Sus scrofa: one gene and its partner. The protein of the gene in region 2 binds, or shares a complex with, the protein of the main gene of each other region. Links are inferred from orthologs where the notes say so. Each region holds a gene or a part of one and is shown on either strand. Other genes may lie near its edges. The genes, in order: P2RY12 and GNAI2.

Region 1 (4,272 bases), about 59 Mb from region 2:
GAACCCGCAGCCTCATGATTCCTAGTCAGATTCATTTCTGCTGCACCATGATGGGAACTTCTATATTTATCTAAGACCAGTGAAATGATGTATTTTAAGAATAATCTTTATTTCTGTTAATGCTTAACTCAATGGCATGCTAAATATTTTCTAAAACTCAGTAACAGGATGTGTGATGAGATAAGATTTTTCTTAATATGGTATATATGATTAGATAACAAACAAAGAAATAACCAGATTTCCATCTGCTTGGAGGAAGGGGAGGAAAGCTAAAATTTTATTTTCCCCTTATTTGTTAATTTGTTAAATGAAAAAGTTGTCTTTGTCAATAAAAAGTTCAGTTTAACCTTAAAAAGAAGAAAAATAAAATTGAATAGGGAAAACAAGTTTTGGGTTTTTATTTTTTTCGTCTATTTTCTAACTTAGATTTTAAGTAATTGGAGAGAAGAACGATACCAAGATGACATAAAAGCACGGCAGATGATGCATGAGGCATTGCAGCTCCGCCTGAATTTGGTAAGATGAGAGATGTGTCTAGTGCTTTCCCTCTGTTACACTTAGCTAAATGTGAAAATAACTCCAGCTTTCCACTCCTACTATAGTCCCCGTTATAAGATGAGGCCGTATGCTCTCTTTACTTCTTCCTTGTCTCTCAATCCTTCTGTTTCCCTGGCTGCTATCCTTCCTGTCTGGTCTGGCTTCTAGACGGCAGTAGGTATTTTCGGCATCGCTTTGCCTTCTGCACAACCACCCCCCTTCCTGCCCCCGTGACTCTCTCTCTCTTTTCCATTTGTGCCAGGAGTCGGTCTCAGAGAACTACTAATTTGAGATGAGGGTTAGCTTTTACTATACTTACTTAAAAACATTAAACTGTCCTTAGGTCAAAATTTTATCAAACTTCTCATCAAATTGATCATAAAGACAAATCCCATAGGGAGGTTCTACAGAGACTTAAAATTCCTCACCCATTGCACATTCCTTTGAATTTTCTTTTTCTCACTGCACAAGCCTCTATAAAAGCTACTCTGGTTTGCCTGGTATTTGATATAAATTCCCACAGGTGAACGAGCAGTCCTGGGGGGCGAAGCCTCCCGCTCAGCATTATGTCCATGTTACAGGCTATTTCCAAATATTATTATGACAACTCTGATAAATAGGCTTAGATTCAATAGTTGACAACACAAGTCTGAAGATAACTGAATCACATGGTTTTGACCTGTTCAGATTTAAATACACTAAAATCACATCATGAAACTGGATGTCATGAAAGCTTAGGAATAAAGGAAATCTGATGAATATTAGTATGTAAATCATTTTGATGATGTGTCCACACTTGGGTACTCCTTCTCTATCTCTCTCTCTTTTTTTTTTTTTGAATGACCAGTTCCTATGCTAATGGAACCAAAAAGAGTGGCAAAAAGGATAGTCCAGAAACTAGAGGACCTTTTTAAAAAAAATTTAAACAAATTGAAATTTGGCTGCATAAAGTGATAGGGGTGGTATTTTCTTTATTACACTATGGAGATTGTTGTTGTTGTATTTTTTATGTGCTAGGTGGGAGGAATGTTTGACACAGTGCAGAGGAGCACCCAGTGGACAACAGACTGGGCCCTCCTCCTCCTTCAGATCATTACTTCTGGAACCGTCGACATGCACACTAACAAGTATGTTCTTATCACTTCATGTTGGCTTTGCTGCATGCATTTATGCGTGTGTGCCTGCGTGGTGGAAGCTCTGATGTACTGATTACAACTTCTTCCACATCTTATATCCTTAGGTACCACTAAAAAAATTCTGTGCCCAGGAGTTTCCGCTGTGGTGCAGTGGGTTAAGAACCCGACTACAGCAGCTCAGTTTGCTGCAGCAGTGTGGGTTCAATCCCTGGCCGGGCACAGTGGGTTAGAGGATCCAGCATGGCTGCATCTGTGGCTCGGGTTCAATCCCTGGCCTGGGAACTTCCATATGCTGCAGATGTGGCCATTAAAAAAAATTAATTCTGTGCTTTATATAAAAATGCTCAGTTAAGAGTATCTTGGTTTTGGTTTTAAGGTGAAAATATTTTCTTTCTCCTCTTAGTGAATTATTCACAACAGTTCTTGATATGCTGGGTGTTTTAATCAATGGAACACTGGCCTCTGACCTATCAAATGCATCCCCAGGGGGATCTGAAGAAAACAAACGTGCATACATGAACTTAGTAAAGAAACTGAAAGTAAGTTTGTGATCTGAGCTTCTGTTGTATGTGGTTTGTTATCTAGTGCATATTGTCTTTTTTATCACTCTTTAAATCAGGTGCTATTTATTGCATTCAACTTAATACAATGTAATTATTTTGCTATCTGCTTAACTTCAGCTTCCCAGTACCCAAAAGTTGTAAGTATATATATAGCTGAAGATTGAAGATTTTTCTTAAAAAAAATTTCATAAAACATACACAATTTTTTAAGGAACTTGAGAAATCCATTATCAAATCTATAAGCAAAATACTAACATTAGATTTAGGATAAATTTGTTCTTAGACTGGCAACATGCAGTTGAAAAATACACATTTGCATTGATATTTCTGGATTCGATTCATTTGACTAGGCACTTTTTTGACAATTTTTGAAATAACACAGTTTTTGAAATAAACTGTAAATAAACAATTCAGAAAAGAAATCAAGATATCTGATGACCTTACTAATAAAATAACCAATGGTTACCTTGTAGTCTGACCCTGGATTGGAGAACGTGTTCCATGCTGCAGCTCCTGCCTTCTGGTTGCAAATACTACTCTGGATTTTTGTCATTTCAGCACTGTGATGTTTGTTGTGTAATAAGAGGGTCTTTATACATGTTCTATTTTCTACTTAAATAGAAGAAGTGAAACACACTCACAAACTGTCAATGAGAGCTGCGCCATAGACCATGTTTAAGGTTAAAGAACATTCCAGCTATAAAAAAAGGAAATGCTTCACAGGGGAACTTCCTTATAACTTTTACCTTCATTATAATTTCTGTTCCACTTCTCTCTCTCTTTTTCTTTTTTTTAGAAAGAACTGGGAGACAAGCGGTCAGAAAGTATTGACAAAGTTCGACAGTTGCTGCCTTTGCCAAAACAGACATGTGATGTTATCACTTGTGAACCTATGGGTTCCTTGATTGACACGAAGGGAAACAAAATTGCTGGATTTGACTCTATAGATAAAAAACAGGCAAGAGTAAATGTTTGTTTCTCATATATATATATATATATATAAATACATGAACTTAAAAAAAGACAAAATACGTTTCCTTGTCTTCCTACAGGACATATAAAACATCTTAAGTTTATTATTTCTTGATTTTTTAAAACATATCCTTGTCATTTGAATGCAGTGGTCATTGACATTATTATACAAATAGGTCAGATCTTTGAAGATCTTCATTTAAAACTTTCCCTGAGTTTAAGTGAATTTCTAAAGCCCAACACGGGAAAACTAAGTACAAGCTTAGTATAAAAGAAATACGGAAGATCACGTTTGATTTTACTGCAGAACTGGAAATAGAATACATTTAGTGAATGAGAAAATTCTTATTCTTATGTCTTGTAAGCTGTTTTGAGTAAACAATTCTTTTTAAAGTGATAGCACCTTATTTTCTTATCAAACAATATTGAATGAACACTTGATTTATATATGATATTAAACAAGTTTCTCTAAAACACAAGGAAAATGGTCTGCTATTCTTTCAGGGAACATTGAGCAACCACAGGTGTCTGAAATCACAGAGATGTAAGACAGAGCTCCTACCCTTAAGGGGAAGTAGATAGACAGTTACACTCCAGTGAGGTTTGTGTGTCCTGGTATGGAGTGCTAGGGGACAACGGGAAGAGGCCATCACACTCAGATGAGGGGTAGGTCGTCAGAGCCAGATCCTCAGGAAGACCGACACTTGAATAATTTTGGAAGTTTAAGAATTAGCCAGGAGGTAGGGCAAAGTGTGATACAGGTACAGGGAAGTGTTTTGCAAAGGCATGAGAGACTGTGTCTCGTAGGCAAATGCAGTGCTGGAGTAATTGGAGCGCCCTGAGTGCTGATAACCATATAGTTGTGGAGAGAGGATAAAGCTAGAGTCAGGGGCAAGTTGAGTTTGCAGTGTCAGTGGGCTCTCCAGTGGTGACGCATCTGGAAGCCATGCGGACATGTGGTCTTGGCACCCAGGAAAGAGGTGTAATGTCAAGAAAGATACTAAGAAACAGTCAAAATGTGGGTGAGTGGAAGAGTGTGTATGGTTAGGAAATGGGAGCGTTCA
Region 2 (3,811 bases):
TAGCCGCCGGCCTACACCAGAGCCACAGCAACATGGGATCCAAGCCTACACCACAGCTCATGGTAACACAGGATCCCCAACCCACTGAGCGAGGCCAGGGATCGAACCTGCATCCTCATGGATGCTAGTTGGGTTCGTTAACTGCTGAGCCACGAACAGGAACTCCCTAAGCCCGCTCTTGACTCCCACCAGCAGCTAGGCCAGAGGGAAATGAACTCAGAGACGCAGGGACAGAACAGAAAAACAGGAAGGGCTATGGGGGACCATGACGCATATGCTGTGACCTGGCCCCTACTGAGAGCCTCCAGCCCAGAGGCCCATTGGGTTCTACACCAGTTTCTCCCTTGTCCCCAACAGGTGGGCTCACCCCAGGGACCCACTGCCTTGGAGGATGGCTGTGAAGAGGGGCTGGAGTGTGCCCATTCCCTGGAATGTTCCAATCTGCTCCCACCCCAGGTGATCTTGTCACGGCATAAAACTGCCCAGGAGGGCACAGCCCAGGCTCCCTGCTGAATCCCCACACCCAGAATAGTGCTGGGCACACAATGGGTACTTAACATCTGGAGAAGGAAGGACGGGGCTGTGGAACAGTGGGAAGTGGCCAGAAGGTGACCTGACCTCCTCGAGTATCCTGGGCACTGTGATGGCAGTGGTTTTGATAGGACCCATGCTTCCCCGCCTCCAGGACCCAAAAGCTCTGCTGGCACTGAGTCTGTGACCTCTGGGAGGCCCCCCGTGGTGAAGGGCTGTGACCCCACAGCTCCTGAGGGGGGCATACACTCCCAAGTGCATTCACTGCAAGCAGGGGAAGGCTGTCTCTGTGAGTGATGTGGGCTCAGGATCGACGGGTAGTGGAGTGGGAAAGGTGTTCAGATATAGAGACTGACCTATGCAGAGGTAGGAGAGGGGATGTGAGAGTATGGGGTCAGCAGCCCATCAGGGTGACACTATCCAGAACCTGTGGATGTCTCCCCACAGGGGCCAGCCTATCTGCCCTATTCCCTGTGGGGTGACCAGCATCCTGCAGCAGGTCAAGCCCCACACCACCAAGGCCTTGGCTGACAGCAGCTTCATGAAGAGACTGGCCATATCTGTCTGAGGGCGCCCAGGCCCTCAGGTCCAGGCTATGGTCTAGGTGCCCGCAGCCCAGCCCCTCGGAGCACTCACTAGGCGGCAGAGTCGTTGAGCTGGTACTCCCGCGAGCGGCCAAAGCAGGCCTGCACACCGTGGTCAGCCCAGAGCCTCCGGATGACGCCGGACAGGTCCTCGGGGAGCACGCCCTGCTCCTCAGCCGTGCATGACAGCGCAAACAGCTGCCTGGCGTCGTCCTGGGCACAGCGGTGAGGGGTCAGCCAGTGCAGGAGTGCACCCCCACCCCATCTGTCAGAGGCAGGGAGGCCTCCGGAACGGGGCCCAGGCTGGGGTGTTCTCATCTTCCCCAGGCCAAGACTTGCCCTGAAGCCTTATGGGGGCAGGCAGGACGGGGGAGTCCACATACCGCACGGGAGGGGTCGGCAAAGTCAATCTGCAGATTGCCCATGGCTTTGACAATGGCCATGATGGACTGGATGGTGTTGCTGTAGACGACTGCCCGGTACTGCCGGCATTCCTCCTCTGAGTAGCCATCCTCGTGGATGATCCTGGCAGCCAGGGGTCAGGGGTTAGGGTGCACAGGGACCTCACGTGGTCGCCTGGGGCTGCTGGGGCCTGCGGGAACCTACTTCAGAGAGGAGGAAACTGCCTCTGAACCACTGGGACCTGAGGATGGATTCTGCCTCTGGAAAGGTTCTGGGCCTGGCTCACACTGGCTGGGCCTACACTCGGGGGCAGGACAGGCCCAGAGGAAGAAGAGGGGAAATCAAGGTTTGGAGGCTGCCTCCTGCACACAGCACTTACTTCATCTGCTTGACAATGGTGCTCTTCCCTGACTCCCCAGCACCTGGAACAAAGGGCATAGGCGGTCAGCGCAGGCCAGTGGGGCTACACAGGCAAGCAACTAGCGGCCCAGCCATGCGGCCCCAGAGGCAGAACTCACCCTCCCCATCAAGTGCACAGTGAGATGGGGGCAGTTGGGCCTGGTGGGTAGCAGAGCTACAGGGGTACGGCTGGCAGAGCCACAGGGGTGAAGGCAACCTAGGCCACCTGGACCCCATGGTGGACTCACTGCAGGCCTTGGCTTCCCACGAGCTCCACTGCCTACCATGGATCCCACTGCCCTGGTTAAATTCAGGGGCTTTGGCCAGAGACTTGAGGCCAGCCCCTCGGGAGTCACCCTGTCATTCTCACACAGGGAGGCTTGCCACACCGTGGCCAGGGCTCCCCAACCTGGAGCCCTGGCGCAGCTGGCAAAAAGGAGCCTTGTGCGCTCCAGCATGGCAGCAGGCCTCTTCTCCCTGGGGCCTGGGGCAGCTGCCAAGGGGCCTGGATCTGGGCATGGTGTCACACCCCTGCCTCCCAGACATGGCCCAAGGCCCAGGCCCCTGCTCGCGGGGCCCAGGTCTATTCCAGGCGGAGAGACCAGGACCTGGGAGACATGCAGCGTTAGACACACACACACACACACACACACACACACACACACACACACACCCCTATACTAACTCAAGACACTTCCCCGGCCTGGGGAGCCCACCCTGTATTTCTCTTTGACCAGTGCTGAGGGATTTGTTGGCACTCTTTCTCTTTTTTCCTTTTCTTTTTTAGGGCCACAGCCACAGCATATGTAAGTTCCCAGGCTAGGGGCCAAATCGGAGCTACAACTGCTGAGCTACGCCACAGTCACAGCAATATGGGGTCCGAGCCACTACACCACTGCTACCTATCTATACCACTGCTCATGGCAACACCAGATCCCTAACTCACTGAGCGAGGTCAGGGATCAAACCCGCATCCTCATGGATACTAGTCAGGTTCTTAACCTGCTCAGCCACAATGGGAACTCCAGGGGCTCTCTTGTGACTGTCACAGCGGCCCCACAAATAGGTATGGATTCCCCTATTTTATAGATGAGGACACTGAGGCTCATAAAAGTAGTCTTGGCCCAAGATCAGTAGCCAGGATTCAGAAGGGCAGGAAGACATGAAGGATAATGATGGCTGGCCTACCCAGCCCTTAACAAAATATGCACAGATGCTATGGGATGATGCCTCAGGTGGGTATAAAAAAAAAAAAAAAAAAAAAAAGGCAGAGACTCACAGGCCTTATCCCAGACACACAGCCAGATCCTGAGGGGTGCAGCCCAGAAACCTGCATTCCCCAGGGAGTCTGTGCAGGGAGTGTGAGACCCAGAAGGCCACCAAACTCCTGGTTAGGGGGGTGGAGGAGGTGGGGGCAGGGCCTCAGCTCTTCCCTTTGCTGCTCCCTGTCCTAAGTTCCAGGTAGAGGACACCTCAGCTGGGCCCAGCTTTCCCTCCCAGCCTTTGCCCAGCCTGTTCCCTCTGCTCTGCCCCATCACTGCCAGTCACACCTGCGCTTGCCAGGTACTGCCTCTTGCCAACTCCAGGCCTTGGCCCACGCAGTTCTCTTTGCCGGGCACACCTGTACCACATGCCCCATCTACATGTGTCCCAAACCTCCAGATCACTGTGGCAGGTCTGTCACTCTGCCCAGCTCAGCAGGGTGGGTGGCGGGGTCAGTGGGGAAGTGGAACTCTGGCCCCCCTATCCCCCAAGGTTGGTCAAGACAACCACGGAGGATAGAGGGGCTAACACACAAACGACCGTGAACAGCAAGACTAACACCAGAATTGATGATCACGACCAAGTGAGCAGTACCCTCTACGTGTCAGATGCTATTCTGTGCCTATCATGTC

Evidence for each region.
Region 1: the proteins of GNAI2 (region 2) and P2RY12 are in contact, whole or in part, in a cryo-EM structure (PDB 7XXI), measured with the Homo sapiens proteins. The link is inferred for Sus scrofa from reciprocal best matches to the Homo sapiens genes GNAI2 and P2RY12. Residues at the interface, in NP_002061.1 of Homo sapiens: Arg24, Glu28, Ala31, Arg32, Leu195, Glu319, Ile320, Tyr321, Phe335, Phe337, Asp338, Ala339, Thr341, Asp342, Ile344, Ile345, Lys346, Asn348, Leu349, Lys350, Asp351, Cys352, Gly353, Leu354, Phe355; in NP_073625.1 of Homo sapiens: Phe59, Asp121, Arg122, Lys125, Thr126, Pro129, Phe130, Thr132, Asn134, Pro135, Ile212, Leu216, Ser219, Tyr220, Arg222, Thr223, Arg224, Val234, Lys237, Ile241, Leu301, Cys302, Lys303.

Annotation. Positions count from the first base shown.
Region 1 is NC_010455.5:91,569,244-91,573,515, forward strand, and holds the start of P2RY12 (P2Y purinoceptor 12), read right to left. Parts: upstream 2,953-4,272; 5' UTR 2,703-2,952; intron 2,213-2,702; coding exon of another isoform or gene 2,077-2,212; intron 1,665-2,076; coding exon of another isoform or gene 1,555-1,664; intron 517-1,554; coding exon of another isoform or gene 427-516; intron 1-426. Other genes in the region: MED12L (mediator of RNA polymerase II transcription subunit 12-like protein), read left to right, coding at 427-516, 1,555-1,664, 2,077-2,212, 3,033-3,194. UniProt on the Homo sapiens protein: Receptor for ADP and ATP coupled to G-proteins that inhibit the adenylyl cyclase second messenger system. Not activated by UDP and UTP. Required for normal platelet aggregation and blood coagulation.
Region 2 is NC_010455.5:32,726,200-32,730,010, reverse strand, and holds part of GNAI2 (guanine nucleotide-binding protein G(i) subunit alpha-2), read right to left. Parts: intron 1,940-3,811; coding exon 1,897-1,939; intron 1,641-1,896; coding exon 1,499-1,640; intron 1,329-1,498; coding exon 1,168-1,328; intron 1-1,167. UniProt on the Homo sapiens protein: Guanine nucleotide-binding proteins (G proteins) are involved as modulators or transducers in various transmembrane signaling systems.